4 linked regions of the Schizosaccharomyces pombe genome follow. The protein of the gene in region 2 binds, or shares a complex with, the protein of the main gene of each other region. Each region holds a gene or a part of one and is shown on either strand. Other genes may lie near its edges.

The links.
Region 1: alp5 (region 2) and vid21 share a complex: the UniProt entries of both Schizosaccharomyces pombe proteins name them as parts of the nuA4 histone acetyltransferase complex.
Region 3: alp5 (region 2) and mst1 share a complex: the UniProt entries of both Schizosaccharomyces pombe proteins name them as parts of the nuA4 histone acetyltransferase complex.
Region 4: alp5 (region 2) and eaf7 share a complex: the UniProt entries of both Schizosaccharomyces pombe proteins name them as parts of the nuA4 histone acetyltransferase complex.

Annotation. Positions count from the first base shown.
Region 1 is NC_003421.2:979,011-985,410, forward strand, and holds vid21 (NuA4 histone acetyltransferase complex scaffold subunit Vid21/Eaf1), read left to right. Parts: upstream 1-1,960; 5' UTR 1,961-2,109; coding exon 2,110-2,118; intron 2,119-2,135; exon of another isoform or gene 2,136-2,200; coding exon 2,201-2,481; exon of another isoform or gene 2,482-2,538; coding exon 2,539-5,233; 3' UTR 5,234-5,455; coding exon of another isoform or gene 5,456-5,630; 3' UTR 5,631-5,700; downstream 5,701-6,400. Other genes in the region: yapsin Yps1, read right to left, coding at 1-1,168; sws2 (mitochondrial 37S ribosomal protein uS13m), read right to left, coding at 5,456-5,630, 5,701-5,981. UniProt on the Schizosaccharomyces pombe protein: Component of the NuA4 histone acetyltransferase complex which is involved in transcriptional activation of selected genes principally by acetylation of nucleosomal histone H4 and H2A. The NuA4 complex is also involved in DNA repair.
Region 2 is NC_003423.3:2,011,045-2,015,505, forward strand, and holds alp5 (Ino80, NuA4 and Swr1 complex actin-like protein Arp4), read left to right. Parts: upstream 1-1,954; 5' UTR 1,955-2,017; coding exon 2,018-3,319; 3' UTR 3,320-3,961; downstream 3,962-4,461. Other genes in the region: DNA-directed RNA polymerase I complex subunit Rpa2, read left to right, coding at 1-599; GINS complex subunit Psf1, read left to right, coding at 4,456-4,461. UniProt on the Schizosaccharomyces pombe protein: Chromatin interaction component of the NuA4 histone acetyltransferase complex which is involved in transcriptional activation of selected genes principally by acetylation of nucleosomal histone H4 and H2A. The NuA4 complex is also involved in DNA repair.
Region 3 is NC_003424.3:4,558,554-4,564,744, reverse strand, and holds mst1 (histone acetyltransferase, KAT5 family Mst1), read left to right. Parts: upstream 1-1,915; 5' UTR 1,916-1,969; coding exon 1,970-3,361; 3' UTR 3,362-3,508; coding exon of another isoform or gene 3,509-5,452; 3' UTR 5,453-5,644; downstream 5,645-6,191. Other genes in the region: slm1 (cytoskeletal signaling protein), read left to right, coding at 1-851; ATP-dependent RNA helicase Rpm2, read right to left, coding at 3,509-5,452; 19S proteasome regulatory subunit Rpn10, read left to right, coding at 6,109-6,134, 6,177-6,191. UniProt on the Schizosaccharomyces pombe protein: Catalytic component of the NuA4 histone acetyltransferase (HAT) complex which is involved in epigenetic transcriptional activation of selected genes principally by acetylation of nucleosomal histones H4, H3, H2B, H2A and H2A variant H2A.Z.
Region 4 is NC_003423.3:4,259,297-4,263,027, reverse strand, and holds eaf7 (NuA4 histone acetyltransferase complex subunit Eaf7), read left to right. Parts: upstream 1-1,566; 5' UTR 1,567-1,708; coding exon 1,709-1,865; exon of another isoform or gene 1,866-1,955; coding exon 1,956-2,089; exon of another isoform or gene 2,090-2,151; coding exon 2,152-2,679; 3' UTR 2,680-3,216; downstream 3,217-3,731. Other genes in the region: RNA-binding protein Cip1, read left to right, coding at 1-555. UniProt on the Schizosaccharomyces pombe protein: Component of the NuA4 histone acetyltransferase complex which is involved in transcriptional activation of selected genes principally by acetylation of nucleosomal histone H4 and H2A. The NuA4 complex is also involved in DNA repair.

The sequences.
Region 1 (6,400 bases), on a different chromosome or scaffold from region 2:
ACAAACCTAATACAATCTCACTATCCGTCGAAGGTCGAATACCTAAAAGACATATGTTTGAAACTTGCCCAATCACTAGCAACGATATCGGTACCTTGATAGTTGAATTACATCCAAATTGAAATATCAGAGCGGCTTCCAAATCAATTTCATCACAGTTTAATGCGAAATAGCCTTCGGATAAGTAGGCACCAGCATTATCCATCACACTGTAAGCCAATTCGGCAGGCAAATAAATATAAGTTTCACGAGTTTGAAAGTATGCATCAGTGATGATAGAATAATTAGAAAAGAACGTAGAGTTTAAGAACTGCACAGAGTAAATGGAAACGGCGTAATGCGTAAGCTTAGTCTGCTTCAAAGCGACAAACTGTCCCTGGTACTTTGACGTATCCACGGCTCCCAAAAGTAAACTTCCATTACCCTGATTATCCAGATACATACTAAAAGCAGGGTATGCCAATATATCCTCTTTAACTAGTTGTTCCAAAAAGGTTGGTGGTGAAAAACTTGAAATGGAATCCGAATAATCTATTGAATTAATTTCGGTACTGGCAGCTAAACCTAGCACGCCTTTGTACGGCAGCATTGAACTGGGAACATACTCCTTTAATGTGATGCCGAATTGGAAGTCCGGTAAAGCTTGATAATGACTGTAAGAAAGGGAGTCCTGAACATTAATTCCAGCAACTGTAATGTTATCGTCATAGCGGATAAAAAAAGTGCTTGGACTCGTAACAAAATGGAAGCTAGAAGATGCATTCCCAAAATAACAAGAATCACTTTCTTTTTTACAAAGAAAGTATCGCAGTTCATCCGTACTCCACTGAGTACCACTATTCACTATGCCAAGATACGCTGGATTAAACGCCATTACATTGTAGTAAGTCAACCATGTGTACGGCATGTCCAAATCTATAGCTACAGTGTACGAAATACTCGGACGACCGATCGAAAGGGTAGTAGTGTAGTAAGTGTAACTCTGCAAATCTAAAGGAAATGAAGTGATACCAGATGGAGAATAAGTATAGTCACGCTTCTCTAATTGATTTTCCTGGTTGGGAAAAGTTTTCGCAACGAAGTCCAAAGCTAAAACACCATTTCCCGTATATTGTAACGAAGAGACAAGTTTAATGAAGGAGAAAAATATTAAAATCCAAATCCTCATAATCCTTAAATAATTAGAAGAAAATATAGATGCAAGAATGTTTACATAGAGGTAAATTAAAATGACCAAGGTGATTATCAGATAAAAAGAGAAATAAAGAATAAGAATAAAGTAATATGAGAAGAAGAAATAAGAATATGCAAAACGGAACTAAAACAAAAATGCAAAGTAGAATAAAGAGCAGGTGCCGAGTTCTTTTGATGAAAGAATGTTTTAACGAAAGCAACGATGAATTGTTATTATCCCTTGTTATGTTGGGAGCAACAATTTGGCAATCTTGCTTTATAAAGAAAAGAAAATCCACAACAGAAAGTGGAAATAATCCTCAAGGGATGAGCAATAGATGCATGTAAAAACCAAATGCAACGCAAAAATCTAGAAAAACTTGATCATAAATAAGAGTCTTTCACAATTCCTAGCACGTCGTAAAATAATAAATACAAATTGAAAATAAGGGAGAAATAGATCACTTAACGATAGTTTTTTTAGAATGATATGATAGTAGGTTTGGCATGTAGCTCAACTGAATGTATTTTTGAATAATTTAAGTTGAAAGGGAAACGTTTTTAAAGCTTTGAAATATGCCGATAACCTTTATGGTAACGTCTCAACTTTTAAATAGAACAAGCGATTTCTCCGAGCAACAAAAAGACGAAAATAAAAGACAGTCTTATTGCTGTACTTGTAGTTCAAAACTGTGTCCTAGTAGAGTGCTATTTCCTTGTTTTTCTACTTCACCTAATATGGTGGTTGATTGCGGGCTCAAATCCCTTGGGGGGCCTCAACACCATCAGACTAACTTCGTTCACATTAGGTCTGAAAGTATACAGGATCCTTGAGTTCTTTATATCATCATACAATAAATATAAAAGCAAAACTGTGTCTTTTCTAGAATACGATTTGTATGCTTTTTCCAGCGTAATTCCGCTTAAATTGGGATTATGAAACAGGTACGTTTTTACGAGTCTTACGGGCCTTAAAGTGATAATTTTATTGTACTTCGATAACTAATTAATATTTTTAATTAAAAAGAAGGAGACCAAAACCAGTCAAATTGCTTTAGTCGATGGTGAAAAATTATCGATAACAGATTCTTTTGCCTCCCTTTTTACTCTAGACGAAGAAGAAGAAAACGACTCTGTAGACAATGAAGAGATTAAGTTAACAAAAGAGAAACATGAAAAGTTACTTCTTTTATTTTGGTTGCATTGCAAGTTTCCTAATGGATTAGAATGGCTTCATTCATCAAGTGATCTTTTACCAGAGCAAGTTTCTGAGTGGTTTAACTTTTATCAAAAGTATCGTTTTAAAAGGTATGTCTCATTGAGTAACTTTTTGTATTTTCCTCAAATGTACAACTAACATGCAAGGGGGCGAAATTTTAATCTTTCAGCTAGAGAATCTGTAACTCCTATCGTTGAAGAACCGATAGTTCCCGAAGAACCCGATAATTTGGAAGGAGTTTCAGAGGAGACACCTTTAAAAGAAACTTCCCTAGAACTTAGCGAGGAGGAAATTATAACGTCAAAATCTCCCATACCTTCACCTGAAACTATACATAAAAATATTGACGTAGAAGAGAAAGAAACTATTGAACCAACAACACCCGTAAAAGAAGTGGAAACCACTGCTCATGCTGAAGAGGAAAAAGGCCCTTTGACGCCAGATAGCGAGTATGCTGCTCGACAGCTTACCGAAGAACTTGCAAACAAATCCTCTCAAGAAGAAGGAGTCGATAAGCAATTAAGAGTGGTTGAAGCTACCGAAAAGGAACATGAGGAAGATGGGAATGAAGAAAATGTGACCGTTACCAAACCGGTAGAGGTTGCGACTGATCAAGTTGAGTCTAAAGAAGTGAAAAAGAAAGAGGTATCAGAGACAACGGAACCTACGGCTCCCCCTGTCACTGTTGCAGAAGTTTTGGAAATTGAAGATAAAGTCCCAAAGGTTGATGAAGTTGAAGAAGTTCATTCTCCTGAAGCCAAGGTCACTGAAAATGATGTTGAGAATGTACAATCAGGTATTGATATTGAAAAAACTATACAATTATTAAATAATCAAGAGATTCCTTCGGAACAACAAATCATTTCCGTTGACAAGGCCACTGAATCTCCTGTTCAGGAAGTAGCGGTTGATGTCAACGAGAAGCCAGTAGATGAAATTGTTGAGCCTAGTAAATTACAAATGGAAAATAAGTTACCATCGGAAAAATCCCCTACAATTGACAGAACTGGGGTTGAAGCTCCGCTTTTTGAACTTTCTGTATCTATGCCACTAACTTTAATTCCTCCTTCAAAATTTTCTGAACCGGTGAAACCAGAGCTTTCCTCAGAAGCATGGCTGCTTCGAACAGAAATGTCGCCTTTACATTTAAGGTTGAAAAATGCACATAAATATGTTCTATCAGATAACTGGTCTCATGCGTATCGCGAGGAAATTGTACGACAATCACTACATCATTTAACGGTTGCAAAAGAAAAAGGTATTTGGTCCTTTAGACAGCCCAAAAGACAAAACGAGATGCCACGATTGAAAACTCATCGGGATTATGTTTTGGATGAGATGCAATGGATGTCAATTGATTTTTCTCAAGAGCGTAAATGGAAAATTATATTGGCTCATAGAATGGCGAATTGGGTAATGGATTACCATCAAGCTAGTGATAAATGTACTGTTTGTACTCCGGCTTCGTTGTCAAAGAATAAGAAGCCGTACATGCAAGAGAATGAACATCAGAAAGACTCTCACGAGGAAACGTTTAATGAACAAATAGTGAGCCATTTTAATCTAAATGATAATAATAACAACAAAGTGCTCTCTATTCCCAGGGATTCTTTACAGTTTTATAATGCTGTTTTTTCGGATGATATATTTGTGACAACAAACTCCGAACAAATTCAGAACTGCGTTTTAAACGTTCCTATGTACGGTCCTCCTACTGAAAACAATGAATATTGTGAAGAAATATCTGAAAAGTACCCGATCACTCCTGTGTCACGTTTTGCATATGCCAAAACAAAGCTTAAATCCACCTGTGCAAAGGCTTCTAGGAAACGTTTGTTCAACCAATTGGAATTATCACCACCTGAGTCGTTTATGGAAAAGAAGGCGAGAAGCGATGAGAACCAGCTAGATGGAAATAAAATTAAGGATGATAATCAGAAGCTATCCTCAGTAGGAACCTTTAGTGTGCGGCCTCCGTATCCGCCTTCTAGTAAAGATATTCGTCCAGAAGCCCCTTGGTTGCCCGAAGAAGATGAACTCCTTTTATTACTCTTGCGACGATATTCCTTTAATTGGGAATTTGTTGCCAGTAGGTTAACACCACCAGGTTTGTACATACCGCTTGCCGAGAAGCGGACTGCGTGGGATTGTTTTGAAAGATGGATTCAAGTGGATCCCAGAGCCGCCAATGTCCAATTGACTGGCTCCCATGCAAGACTCGCTCAGCAGAAATTAGATGAATCCTTAAGACATTCGGATAAAGTTAGCCAACATCTATCCTTACGGGATGAAGGAACACCTAACCATTTGATTAAACATAATTCTTACTTCTTATTGCCAACTGTATCAAGACATTACCGACCCATTACTATATTTGAAGCTATACGAAAGATCCTTAAAAAGAGAGAGTTTGCTAAAAAACCCACTATGACCAAGAGAGCGATTGCACCATCTGCAGCTTCAACTGAAAAATTGCCGCCGGTTCCTTCCCCTCTCGAACTTTCTCGTTTGAAATCTGAGCGTGAGGCACAAATACAGCAAATACAGGCTCAGAGAAACTTTGCACAATTGCAATCACAAAACAGGGCTCTACGGCCGCAAAACGCCGCTGTTGCTGCTGGTGCACAACAACACAACCAGCAACTAGCAGCCTTTCAAGCTGTAGCTGCTTCACAAAATAGTAGTAACAATTCATCAGCGGGTGTCTCGCCTATAGCTGGTAGAATGGTCCCCAGGCTTCAGCCATACGCTGTTTCCAGTTCTTTAAAACTAACACCTGAACAAATTCATCAGTTGCAGCAAAGGAAGCAAACTGTACCTACTACTGAAAGGACACAGTAAGTATCGCCTCAATGCAATTTTTCGATTTATTGTATTTTTTTTGAGTGCTGTTGTATATTAGAAGGAAATTACGAGGCGAGAGCTTTTTCTCTCACACAATAAAAATAGAATACGTTTTCATTTTCGTATCCCGGTTGTTGGTTTTTTAACAGAATCAAGCAAATCGAGGTAATACGAAGTGTACATGATAAGTGAAGTTTGATTTCATAAACGTTATTTTAGCTAATGAATATGTTTTAATTTTTGAAAGACAGACACCATTCTCGGTAGACAAAAACTCCATGTGATGGGCCTTGTAGAAGCGGGCGACAGTGTCATATAACCTCGTCGTGGGACTTTGTTTAGCTTCTTAGCAGTCTTTGCATTCGTCCGAGTGTTCTGTCCATTAACGGGTAACCTGAAATATTCATTAGTTAAGTTGAAAAAGTTGTCGAAGACAGCTACGTTCACAAATGATCTTTTCATACCCGTTTACATGTCTCATTCCCCGATAGCATCGGATATTCACCAATCTTGAGATATCAGCATTCCGTTGACGCCGTAAGTCACCTTCAATAGTCATTCCTGATAGCAGTTGCGACAACGTTGTCAATTGAACATTTGTCAGCTCTCGAACCCTTAACGTATTGTGAAATGATAATTTTGCGCATATTTCTTCAGCCTTGGCATGTCCAATTCCATAAAAAGAAAGTAGAGCAAACCGCACAGGTTTATCGTCGTTTACAGCCACTCCAAGTATGTATACCATGATGCAAAATCTCAGATATCAACAGATGAGACAGAAACCAGCTCAATAATGAAGTGGACAATTTGGTTTTGTAATTCAGTTCTCTATCAGTAATCAGAGAGCTTAAAACCGTTCTGAATATAAGTATTAGGCTTTCTTGTAAAAGAGTGGAGTGGTGGTGTTTAGATATAATACACAGTTGGATCTCTCATATTTTTAGAAAACTAGTTAGATTGTACAGACTCCGGGCCTAGTAATAAAAGACAATTTGAGTAATCATTAAAGAGCTACTATCTAAGGTGTAATTTGATGTTTAAGAAGACCATAAATAGGGCAAGGTAAGACGAAGAAAAACAAATAAAGAAGAGATATCGTCAAAGGCCTTCCTTTTCTGTTCAAATTTTAAAATTTATGAACTCAAATGATCCCTTCGTTCAATG
Region 2 (4,461 bases):
CTGCTGCTGACTACTTTGGCGAACAATTGGTTAAGGCTGGTTACAACTATCATGGAAACGAGCCTATGTATAGTGGTATCACAGGACAGGAGATGAAGGCTGATATTTATATTGGAGTTGTCTACTATCAACGTCTTCGCCATATGGTTAGTGATAAATTTCAAGTACGTACAACCGGACCCATTCATAATCTTACTCGTCAACCCGTCAAAGGTCGCAAACGTGCTGGTGGTATTCGTTTCGGTGAAATGGAACGTGATGCTGTTATCGGTCATGGCACATCGTTCTTGATGCAGGATCGTTTAATGAATTGTTCTGATTATGCCCAGAGCTGGGTTTGTCGAGATTGTGGGTCTATTATTTCTATCATGTCTACAATTTCGATGAATGGCGTAGGAAGTGCCTCAGAAGTCAGGTGCAGAAGCTGTGCCAAACCCGCTTTGGGATTGGAAGATACCAGTGACATTTGGCAGGATGGTAGCGGAAAGAAATTTGTCGGCGGCACAAATACTACGTTGATCGCATTACCCAGTGTTTTCAATTACTTGACGGCGGAACTTACTGCTATGAATATTAAAATGATGCTTGAAGTTAAATAGATTAAAGTGTTGAAAAGAGTATTGAAATTAATATATTCGCTTTCAACTTCTTTAAAAAAAATTTTTTTAAAAGGACTGACAAAATGCCATGGGTGATGTGTGTATTTTCAGTTCCATTTGATTCTGTTTTCTTTCGCAACAGGTTTCTGATTTTTGCTTCGGATTACGTTTTGCATATAAAATTACTTATTGTTTTGGGGGAAGAGTTAATAAAAAAACTTATATAGAAAACTATAAAGGTAGGTCTAGGTGGACTAATAATAAATTGATTGATTTTTATCTTTTTGATTAAGAAGCGGCTAAGACATAATTGACAAGAAAAAGTTTATTATTAGATGTCTTTTTGCTTTAAATTGTATTATATATTGGTTAATAGATACTTGATACCAAAGAGTGATCGAATGTTCAAAGAAGCAGATTAATCAGAGGTTGAGATCTGATGCAAATTCGTGAGCACACATTCGTATGGAGAAAAGAGAATTGATATCTTATAATTTTAAGAACAGCTCAACTACAGAAAATCTATGCACTCAATTATAAAAAATACCTATTCGCATGGTTCACATTTAAGAGCAGCATAATGACGAATTACAGAAACCCACGCTAAATTGTATTTTGTGCTTCATTATACTATATTAGATAACCGATATTTAGTATAGTGTGTAAGCTACGCAGTTTGGTATCTGATTTAAGGATACGTAGAACTGCGGTGAGTTTTCCTTGTGATCTATTATATTACAATACACAGGTTGTATGAGTAGCAACTGAGTATAGGTATTGTATTAACTGGGTTATAATGTTACCTATCACTAATATAGCTCATAACTGAACTGAGGAACGAGGTTCGGCTGTAACGCTATTTCGGCAACCGATATTAATAGACTTCATATAACAATAAATATACATTGTTAGTTAACATACTGCATACCGCTATATTGTAAGTCGTAAGAGAAACTCACCGTAATTCTATGTATCGTTAAATATATACCAAACTGCGTAGCTGACTATAGCAAAAAACTCAAAAAATCACTAAATGAATTTGTTTATTAGGAGCATAATAATTATCTTTTCAACTATTGTGGATTTCTTGTACAATTGTTTTTTTTTGTGCTATGAGCCCAATCTTTCATATGAATGCTTATTTTTGAAAACCTAGTTTACTTGACGCGTCTATTAAAAGCTTGAAAATTAGCGACATTCTCGTTGCATGAATGCTTAAAGAATGCACACTTTTCTAAATGAAAGTCTTATTTTTAATTAATTAAACCAACTAAATAAAATAGGAAAGAGTGATGGGTATTTTTAAGAAAAGCCGTTGGCGACCTATTTCATGATCTCAACGATGCGTCTTGTCCAAGTGCCAACGACAACTTTTGCCTGAGAATCTTATCACGTAGACAAACTGTACTGCTGGTAAGATGACTAGCGCATTTTATGGCGGAGATGAAGTTTCAGCTATTGTAATTGATCCTGGAAGCAAATGGACTCGAATAGGTTTTTCTGGAGAAGATATTCCCAAATGCGTACTCCCTAGCTACTGTGGAGAGTTCAGTGATGGCAGACGGTTGTTCGGTGAGGAATACATATATAAATCAAACCCTGGAATGGAAATAAAAAATGCAATTCGTAATGGTTGGGTTGAAAATTGGGATGTTACTGTAGATCTCTGGCGTTATGGATTAGAGCAGCAGTTGAAGACTAATCCTTTAGAGCATCCAATCTTGATTACGGAACCATTTGATAATCCCCCAGAAAATCGAGTGAAAACACTAGAAACGATGTTTGAATCTTTGCGTTGTCCTGCAACATACCTCGCCAAGCAGGAGACGTGTGCGGCGTTTGCAAGCGGGAAAGGTACTGCTTGTTTAGTAGACATTGGTGCGGAGCGTAGCTCGGTGTCTGCTATATATGATGGTTTTGTGCTTCAAAAAGGCTATCAGGTTCAACATTTTTCTGGGAATGCAATTAACGATATTTTGGCGCAAACTCTCAGGGATAAGAATTTCGAAGTGATGCCTAAGTACTTAGTGAAAAGCAAAAATCCAGTGGAGATAGGGCAGCCAGCTAATTGTGAGTTACGTCCTCGTGATACTACAGATTCTTATCATCAATTTCAGGTCCAGCGAGTCTACGATGAATGGAAAGAAGAATGTGCTCTCATTTCCGATGTTCCATTTTCATCTGAAACCACGATTGCTGAATCAGAGTTCGAATTTCCAGACGGTTCCCGTATGATGTTTGGCGCGGAACGCTATCAAATTCCTGAACATTTGTTTGTGCCAGGAAGTGATGAAGAAATGAACGAGGAACCTTCGAAGCCAATAGAACAAACCGAAAATAATGAGGTATCACAACAAGATTCTTCGGTTACCAACACTTCTTCTCGCATTTTGGGGATACCTCAGTTGTTCCAGAACTGTATTTCGGAATGCGATGTTGATATCCGTGCTTCTTTGCTCAACAATGTTATTGTTTGTGGAGGCACTAGTTTGATGCAAGGATTCTCTCTTCGTCTGCAAAATGAACTTTCAAAATTATATCCTGGCAGCCGTCTTAAAATCCATGCTTCCGGTCATGTTGTTGAACGCAGTTATGCTTCATGGTTAGGTGGATCTATTTTAAGTAGTCTTGGAACGTTTCATCAATTATGGATATCACGTCAAGAATATGAAGAACATGGTTCTGATCGTTTGGCTTTAATCGAAAAACGATGTAAATAATACGTGTAATGATAATTACTAATCTCTAATGAACCTTTAATTAAAAGTCGTTGGATTTTAGGGAATTTTCCTTAAGTGGAAAAAAAGGGGAAACTTTCGTTTGAAATAAAAAATAATTGAGATATTATTACTTTACGTATGAGACTCTTTCCCTGTCCTTATACCTATCATTTGAAGAGAAAATATTGGATCATGTATTTTGCTATCATCAATAAGCATCAAAAGTTTTGTTTTTGTAACAGATTGTTACTCTGGACTGGTTCGTTGGCTCTTTGTGATATTCATGCTATTGAATTTGTGTAATCTTCCGCAGATTATACATAAAGCGGATTTTTTTGAGTACGGCCAATACATCGATTGGATTTTATGTTGTAAGCAGAAAAGAAAGTCTTACTGACAAAATCATTTTAAGCTACATTAAAGCTCAATTATTTGAAGCTAAATATGCCTTGCCATTTTTTGGATATGAGTGATAGGTTTTAAATTGTACCCCTTTAGATTCTAATTTCTCATCAATGTGATTGTTTTATTCCCTTAAAGCCCTGTCCGATGAAGCAAGCACATCGTACTGTGTTCTGAATATTACGTGAGAATTGTAATCATTGAATGATATCCTTTCTTTTATTTTGAAATGAAACTTTATCTGGTTTCTATAATTTTAGTAGCAATGATTTGTAAGTTGATAATTTGAAGCTTCGTTAAATCATCTCTTCATTCCATGTGTGACGATGTGAGGAACTCGGTTTAATGATACCTTTAGGGCTCATTCAATCCTTTGAATTAGTATACATTACTTTATGAAACTGAGGTAATCCAAGTAAGTATACGCTTCATTTTAAATCTGTGTGAATGTTTAAATAATAAATTCTTAAAAATTCGCATAGTAGGTTCAACTAATAATTTTGTTATAAAAGATCCATGTTTTATTTACAGTAAAATTTCTACTAAGGAATGCATCATTATGGTCTTATGAAAGACATGTCATTTTCCAACGACTTGTCATCCACAACCATTCAATATAGCTTTAAACAACTATCGAGTGTCGTTGTTAATTATACTAATCCGTTTCTTTTAAACTAAACATAATTAGGAAAATCTGTTTAAGCATATCGTGATAGTTAGTGCTTCTAATCACTATGGAG
Region 3 (6,191 bases), on a different chromosome or scaffold from region 2:
TTTCTTTTCGTTTCGAGCAAAACCTTATCGCAAAAATTAAAGACACGGTTAAGCAGTTTGAGGGCATGATGAATCAAACCCATGTCAAAGCTATTAATCACCTCCAAGAAGTTGTTCGCGTATCAGAAGCACAAACCCTTGCTGGCGAGTGGACCGGATACGCAAAGCGTGAGCCGGAATTTATTCATGGCTCTGTTCCCCCCCGCAGCGTTGATGCTATAAAATATCCTGGTAAGAATGACCAACCCACTGTACCTATCATGGCTGGTTATTTAATTCGTAAAACAAGTTTTTTAAAGAAAAAACAAAGAGGTTTTTATGCCTTTACACATTCTGGCTATCTTTACGAATTTAAATCTTCTGATTCACTTCAAGATCCTGAACCCGAATTCGCCCTTTACATACCTGATTGTCTGATCGGTCGCCCTTCTGAGAAGAAACCCAAGTTTAAAATAACTGGCAAGGATGCTACTAAGAAAATTTTTGGCGCGCGAAACGATTACGCGTTTCGCGCTTCTAACAACACCGAACTAATGAGATGGTGGGAAGCGTTGAATACCCATATTGCTAATGTGAACTATATACAACCTTTAAGCAACGCAAATGGTCCATCAGCTGTTTCCGACAGTGATGATGATGATGATGATCCAAATGACTTCCGTCCAGCCGTCGAGCGTCAAAGTTCTACGATGAATACCCGTATGTCGCAACCAAGCTCTGCTGTCAATACAAATCGAAGTTATGGTTCGGAACAAATTCCCTCATACGCAGATAGCCAAGGAAATTCTGGCGCCAACAACAACTTTATTTACAACGCTAGTGCTACTGGTCATAATGCTTGGAATGTATAAAGATTGTATATTCGCAAATTAGGTACGAAATGTGCTCATGTATATTTGTTACACTGCCGTTGTGTTTTAAATGGCAGTCTTTGTAACTCCCCCATACCCGTCTTAATTGTATCTTTTTGATTCCCGTTTAAAGCACTTGAATGTTGATTGTGAACCATTTTACTGTTACTGTAATGAATTCATGATAGTGTTTCTTGATATATAGTGAACTTTTGAAACACCAGTCAACAAATATATAGGTATTATATATAAACTCAGAATAAATACATTTTCTGTTCACCCATACCTGTGGCTGATGACTGTTTCAATCGGGAAAGTTACTTTTTAATGTAGCAGGTTTCATTCCGATATATCTCAACCGCTCGTTTCATGTTTATTAATTTAGCAGCTGGGATGATGGTATATACCTTGTAAATAAAGTGCCTAACATACTTTTATTGGTTTTTGTGAATTAGCTGAGCGCGTTAGTGAAGTAAATTCCCTTAATTATGAAAAGTACTTCTATTATTCCTTATTGGCATTATTCTTTTAATTGGAAACGGAAAACTGAAGAATTGTATTACTGTTTATAGCATTTTCGGTACTTTCTGGACAAATTTCGAATATACTCGTGTTCAAACCCGAGAAAAATATTTTCTAGATTTTTATATTATCAAAGAACACTAATTTTAATTGAGCATTTCAGGATTTTTGAAGTTGATCGTTTAATTTATCACAGCTATCTTGATATGTGTAAAATGAAAGTATTTATTACTCTTTTCATCCTTTCAAAAATTTTATTAATTAATTTACTTTCTATTGGAAACGAAAAGGTTAGCATCGTTTGCTGTAAGCGCAGGTTGAGAATAATTACGTCGATGCTATAATAACGAGCGAAACTCTAACTTTAAAAATCATCTCGCTTAATGAATTTCAAGGTAGCAAAGATTGTAAATTCGTCGAAATTTGCTAAACAATTTAATTTAAAGCAGTAAAGTTCACAAAAAACATACCGACATTTAACGAATCGGTAAAGAAATGTTTTCGAAACTAGCAAAACTCACCACCATGAAAAAAAAATTTTCAGGGTGGCTACACAATTTGTACATGGAATAAGTATCCACTTATTGAGACTCAAGATGTCGAATGATGTTGATGATGAGTCCAAGATTGAAACAAAGTCTTATGAGGCTAAAGACATAGTTTATAAATCCAAAGTCTTTGCATTTAAGGATGGAGAATATCGAAAGGCGGAGATTTTAATGATTCAAAAAAGAACTAGAGGCGTCGTCTACTATGTACACTATAATGACTACAATAAACGTTTAGATGAATGGATTACAATAGATAATATTGATTTATCGAAAGGAATTGAGTATCCACCGCCGGAGAAGCCAAAAAAGGCTCATGGAAAAGGAAAATCCTCAAAACGTCCAAAAGCTGTTGACAGACGACGATCGATTACAGCACCTTCAAAAACTGAGCCTTCGACGCCTTCTACGGAGAAACCTGAACCATCCACCCCTTCTGGAGAAAGTGATCATGGATCAAATGCCGGGAATGAAAGTTTACCGTTATTGGAGGAAGACCACAAGCCCGAAAGTCTTTCAAAAGAACAAGAAGTAGAAAGGTTACGGTTCAGTGGCTCAATGGTTCAAAATCCTCACGAAATAGCTCGAATTCGTAATATAAACAAAATTTGCATAGGAGATCATGAAATTGAACCTTGGTACTTCTCACCGTACCCTAAAGAATTTTCGGAAGTAGATATAGTTTATATTTGCAGTTTTTGTTTCTGCTATTACGGATCTGAGCGACAATTTCAAAGACACCGCGAAAAATGTACATTGCAGCATCCACCCGGAAATGAAATATACCGTGATGACTATATATCCTTTTTTGAAATTGATGGAAGAAAGCAACGTACATGGTGTAGGAATATTTGTCTTTTGTCCAAACTTTTTCTGGATCACAAAATGCTTTACTATGATGTTGATCCCTTTTTGTTTTACTGTATGTGTCGCCGCGATGAATATGGATGTCACTTGGTAGGATATTTCTCAAAAGAAAAAGAGTCCTCCGAAAATTACAACCTTGCTTGTATCTTAACTTTACCTCAATACCAAAGACATGGTTATGGCAAGTTACTCATACAATTTTCTTATGAATTGACCAAGCGTGAGCACAAACACGGCTCACCTGAAAAACCACTTTCTGATTTGGGGTTGATTAGTTATCGAGCGTATTGGGCTGAACAAATCATCAACCTTGTGCTTGGAATGCGAACTGAAACCACTATTGACGAATTAGCCAACAAAACTTCAATGACTACTAATGATGTGCTACATACACTTCAAGCACTAAATATGCTTAAATATTACAAAGGTCAATTTATTATCTGTATTTCAGATGGAATTGAGCAACAATACGAAAGATTGAAGAACAAAAAAAGAAGAAGGATCAATGGAGATTTGTTGGCAGATTGGCAACCTCCTGTTTTTCACCCTTCCCAACTACGATTTGGATGGTAATTCTGTACAAAGAATGGATTAGATGCTGGTCGTCTTTCTTAAAAAAAAAAAAAATTCTCATAATTAAAGTATCTCCTAGATATATATTAATGATACTTAAAGTTTGAAGGAATAGAGACTAATTTGTAACCTTTTATTTCATTTTAGTTACTTTTGTAATTTCGATATTCCTTTGATTAGAAAAGCCTCTGCTATTGCCTTGGTTTTTTCGGCTGCTCCATTTTGCAGGATAGCTGGATATCGTATACTAGCCCACATGTATGCTACTATTAATTTGTGAAGCTGCTCTAGTTGTTGTAACTCGGTTTCAGTGGTTGGAATTCCGCGTTCTAATATTTCCAAAGGTACAGACTTCAAATCATATATTTGCAGACGTTTTCCTTGAGCGATAACACATCCGATTTCCCGAATAAATAGTGGTGCGTATTTAGAATGCTTTAACACTGGGCACCCTAACAATTTGATTTTATCTTTAATGGTTAAACCTTTTATGTGGTCTAAATATTCAATAATGAATGTGCTTAGTGCTCCTTCCGACACAACAAATGGAGTAGTCGTTTTCGCTAACTTAAAGTAACGATCGAAAATTAGCTTTTGAGGAATGTCATCAGAGAATAGTGATAAATATCTAAAGAATAAATCGTCCTTAGCTCCAATACAAGCATTGAATAAGTTCTTTGTAGGAAGATTCATGGCGCGATTTAATTTCGCAAAATCTTTTTGATATAGGGTAGTTACTATTCCAGCACTTTGCTTAGATCCATTGGGATTATGTCGGCCAGCTCTTCCTGCTATCTGCTTAATTTGTGGTACAGGGATGTCTATAGTGGAAACTCCACTAAACTTTTTTAAATCGCTGAAAACAATACGCTTTACGCCTAAGTTGAGACCCATACCAATGGCATCGGAGGCCAGCAAAATATTTTCATCAGAACTCTTTGAATTAAATAAGCTTGCTTGTTGATTACGGACTTCAGGAGGCAGTGAACCATAAATAACGGCAGATTTTTTTCCTAATGCTTGATCAATTTTAGACTTCAAAGTAAAAATGTTTTTCCTTGAAAAAGCCACAACACAATCCCCGTCTTTGAGTTCACTTAACTTTCCATTTAAGCTCTTTTCTGCAACGTGGAGAGGATTTAACCGTTCGTATCTGTAAACAGTAAAATCATCTTGGGTCATTTTAGCAATTGAACGCACTAATTTAACAACACTTTCTTCTCCGCATAAATGAATTTCCTTAGCCTGCAAGCCAAGCAAGCATTGAGTCCAAGCATATCCCCGTGAAGGATCAGCCATCATTTGGATTTCATCAATGACTGCAACATCAAAAGTAGTAGATAAGTTGCACATTTCTACAGTACATGAAACAACCTGAGGGAAAGGATAATCATTTCTAATCTCTTCCCCTGTGTAAAGATTACAAGCTATTCCGTTTGCTTGCAAGCGATTATAGATTTCGTGAGCCAAAAGTCTTAAAGGGCCAGCAAATATACCTTTCTTGCAAGTCTTAAGTCTTTCTAAAGCCCTATGTGTTTTCCCGCTATTCGTTGGGCCGACATGCATAATGATATGCCTTCTGAGTTTTCTCGCTCCTGGATACCACTCAATTGGATTTTTTAAATCTGTTAATTGCTTTTGTAAGTCAGGTCTTGTTTCTTCTATTCGCTCTTGATATCGTACATACTTCCGATACTCTGAGAGTAAACAATCATGGATCTTTTTTATTTTCTGAAGGTCAAAAGTAGAAGAAGATTTTGAAAGAGCCAATGATTTATCAGAGTTTTTTAAGTCAGAAAATCCTAAATCTGTAAGGATATTCTTTTTTAACTCATAATAGTATACATTCTGAAAGACACTGGCATCCTTGCAGACATTGACAAAGTCTTGGGCTAAGTATGCTTGTTTTGACGAAAGTTCTTTGGAAGCAAATAAATATGCAGTGAAGCGATTGAGGGCAGCAGCCCACAAGGTATTTCCTGGGAATTTCCTTTGTTGAAAAACATCCTTTGATAAAGTGTGAATTCTAGCAGACTTGCTAAAAAACGGTACACAAAACGTTACGCCATGAATCAAAGTTTCCAAAAACATTCCTGGCGAGTTAAAATCTTTCTAGCAATGCTCTATTGCTGGCCGCCCTGTAACCAGAGCAAAACTTAATCCAAGTATTTAAAGTAATTTAAAAACAAGAAATGTTTATATAGAAAATTAAATACTTCTCAAACGTCTGAAGGTCCCTGGCTTTATCGCTTTTAAAAATATTACCTTCTATTAATTAAAAAAGGAAAAAAAAAGTAATAATTTGACTACGAGATTCAGTCAAGTTGCCTGCTGAGGCCTCTAATATGTTATACCAACAGCTCTGCATGTATCTCCAAAAAATTAGTATCTCAGCAGTACCCTTTAAATTCCAGTTTTCCGCTTCAGTAAATATATAAAATTTTTTAAAAAGCGTTTATTACCTACACTTGTATTATAACAATTTCACGCATTTGGTGTTGGCTTTCGATTATTTACGCGTGCTGTAAGAAATTAGAGAACCTGTGGATTCGAACAGGAAATGAATTGTGTATCACCATGTTTTTCGATGTTTCATTTTGTGATGCGTTACATATCGTTATCCGAGAATGACTAGAGAAGGTGAGTAGTAATACCTTGTCTAGTTCACTTTGCAACACATCTTCTGTAATCTACCAAGCGTTCTTTCAAATTTCTTCGCATTAAGTTTTAAATTATAGGTCTTCAAGATGGTGTTAGAAGCAACGATGATTCTGTAAGAATTTATTTTTGTTAAATTATTGCTCTAACATGGCAGAATTGATAATTCAGA
Region 4 (3,731 bases), 2.2 Mb from region 2:
AAGATGTTTGAAGTTAGCTTTACTGATCAAGGCTTAAATTTGAATGACACTGGTACCCTTGAAACTTATAGTAGACTTCTATTGTTTGCTCATCAATGCATTCCTTCTCGTGAAATAACATTTGAAACCACTTCTAAGGACGGAAACCTTCTAAATGCCATTAGAATCTTTTGCCTGTACTTTGATCTCGATTACTATGCTCGCCCGAATGGAGAGGTGTTAAAATTAGTAGTTACTCATCCGAATAAAAAGAATACGAGCGTAAGTCAGTCGCAACCTGCATCTCCAAATTTAAGATTTAATATGCCGGCACCGTTAGCTACTCGATTTTTGCAAGAGCATTCATTGAATGGTACTAAGAGTGCCCCTATAACCCCACCTCCCAGTTTCGCAGTACCATTGACAAACCAACTTCGTTCGATTGACGACAAAATTTATGGAAATGAATCACCGCTTCAAAAGGCTTCTACTTTGAGTTCACCTTTCAATTCAAAAAATGATAATGATGCTTCTACCTCCGCTTCCAAGCAGAGTTTTGGTGTCTCCCACTTTTAGAGTCTATGCAATTATAAAGAAACTGTTTATGTACCTTTTAAGATATGATTTTTGTTTACGCCAACTATAGATGCATTTACTATACGCTATTTGTTTTGACTAAATTTTGCTCTTTATCCCTTTATCACTTACTTCTGATGAATCTAAACTCTATGGGCTTCATTTTGTTGATTTTTTGTTTTCCCTTTCACATAGTTGGTTATCCAGCAAATAATCCTTTTAAATACTTAGAAGCTTATATTTTATCGTTTTGAATTCCCACGACACATTTGGACGACTCGACTTAACAGCAATCAATGATGGATATATGTTGGGTGAGGCATAATGTTTTATGACGATAATCAACGGATGAGCGATGCTCCTATTTTTTTACAAATTATAACGATTTTTCTTGTATAAGAAATTTATGCCCTACCGTATAATATACACATACTTTACATGATTAAATTTAACCTTGGACAAATACATTAGTCTGATATTACAAAATTGAACTTTTATTTTTGTAAATTTAATCATCTTCTTTATGTGGATGTGAATGTTCCTAGCTTAGTATTACCGTACTATGGATATAGAAATAAACCTACGATTTAAAGTCTATTTTCTACCAAGCTTGTAGGGCTTTAAATGAGCTACTTTAAAATTACCTAAAATATCGTTAAATTTTCCTATATAATGCGAATTGATTTATATGTAAAAAAGAAAAAGAAATTGCAAGCATGGTGGACTTTTAGTTCCATTGTTAGTAAGTTGTAATTAAAGGAAGTTACAAAGGATTCACTAAAATAAGAATACTTTATGGGTTATCGCAGCCTTACTCAATTACTGCACTTGAATGTCTATTGAATTTAAGAATGAAGAAAGGATAACACAAAGATGCACGATTCTTTTTGGATGAACTTTTATTTTTTGTTAAGGTTATGAAAAAAGATGAAATACACTTGACCTTGTAATTACTGCAGCTAGAAAAAGAAAATATTATAAAAACCAGTTTCATGAGTTATGGCTGGAAGTACCGCACAACACCATAAATATTGATAATCTGCTATATTGCCGATAATATAAAGTTAAATTAGTAGAAAAAGTAAACTAAGAAACAGAAATTTTCTTATTTTACCCATATAAACCTATGTATTAGAGGATAGCAATTGTATTTATGAGTTCGAGGGGAACAAGATCATCAACTGCTGCCGAGCAGAAAAGGCAGGAGGATGTAAATAAAGAATCAAATATGAATGATTCTGTTACTGAATGGTCTGTTTTAGAGGAAACCTTACTGTTAAAAGCTATTTGTCGTGGATTGCGCCCTGTAGGTAAGTGTTCGAAAGGTTAATTGCTCGGTCTCTTATTTTAAAAGCTGCATGTTATCAAATTATTGCATTCATTCACTAATTAAAAAATAGGAATAGAAAAAAATTTTTATATGATAGGGATTTTACGAGAAATTCGTGATGGCTGCAAAAGATCAACAATTAAGGCTCAGGACGTTTGGAATAAATTAGGAACACTTTATAATTTGAAAGAGTTTGAAGAATTGGTATGTCAAAAAGCCTTTTAATTTTTTGTTTTCAAGTATTTGTTGACAGTTTTTTAAATTAGGAAGCTCCAGGAAATGAAGAAGTTAAGGCGAAAGAAAAACGAATAAAGTCGCCAGATGTTAAAGATTTTAAATTACCAAAAGATATTCTTAAAGTAAAAGAAAAATCCGAGAAACCATTGGAAACATCTCAAAAAGTGGAGATTGAAACGGTAGAAACTAAACCCGGTGAACCCGAAGTTAAGCAGGAGACGAATTTACAGAAAGAGAAGAAGGAAAGTAAAGTCAAGCTTGAATCTAAAGAAGAGAAAATTTCTCGGAATTTACGATCCTCTTCTAGAAGTATTTCTCCTGTTACTGAACAGCCGCAAAGTCCAAAGATTCAGCCTGTTATTCCCGAAAAAAAAGAAAAGTCTGAAAAGAAAGAGAGTTCCATGACTTTGCGAAAAAGATCCGTCTCGCCATCTTCTCAAAATACAGCCCGTTCTCCAAAGCGTATGGCTACTGAGCCCATAGAGCCTGCTTCTTCACCGGCAGCTTCAAACCAAGCTATTCGCCGTAGCTCTCGAAGCCGGAGGCCTCCGACCTAGCTCTTGTTAACAGAAAAACCTAGGATGGGAAAGACTGATTATTTGTACATATCATTTATGCTTGGTCTACTCTAATGAACGGTTATTTATATATGAGACCAAAATTAATTATCACAAGGGATTTATAAAAAGTGAAAAATAAAAAGAATTATGATTTTACTACAACTAATATTTTGTATGTCAAGGAGATTTGTTTTAGCAGAATTATAGGTTTAATGGGATCGACGGCATGTCCAAAACTAATTTGCTTTTGCAGTTTTACTCCTTTTTGATGCTCGATTCACGTAATGGGAAAAGACGAACGGCTTTGTTACAAACAAATTTACTCTGATTTACCGCTACGATTTTTGAATCCCGTCACTTCTTTACTGTTCGTTACGATGTTTTATGTAGCTATATATACTGTTTGATAGCTTGACTTGCTAAAAAAAATCTTCTAACTGTGAGTTTTCAATTTTAATTCGATAGGTCCATATGTTAATGTCGATTTGGTTGGAAATATGTTTTAAAGTATGTTTAACACGCATAGACAGAGAGATTCCAATAGGTAGTATACATATTACTTTCAAATTGATGAGCAAATTGTTTTCAAAACCTTACACAGGTAACGATTTGATCAATGAATTTTTCAATTCCGGTGAAACGGACTTGAGTATTCACATGAGTTAATGTATTATTTATCGGCACATCAGACCATTGCCTAGCAGAGTCTGCCGAATTTAACAACTTTTAAAACACAATAGATCTATAAGTACAGCTCTCTAATAGCAAAGCAAAACTGAGCAACCCGTCATTGCGAAACCTTTAAAAGACATCAAAAATACACAAACGCGCTTGCATTCAGGTACATAAACATGCAGCGGGATCTACTTCATAGAGTTTCGTAGATTCCCTTACTTGAAAGGTTAATATCGTACATAATTTTCATACTGTGAGGCAAAAATCTCATTAATATTTAGTATTCAACAACATAAAAACAATTTTAGCAATTAAACTTGAAACCGTTTAATAAACAATGGAAGTACACTAACAAAGATAATCCTAGTGTCTCT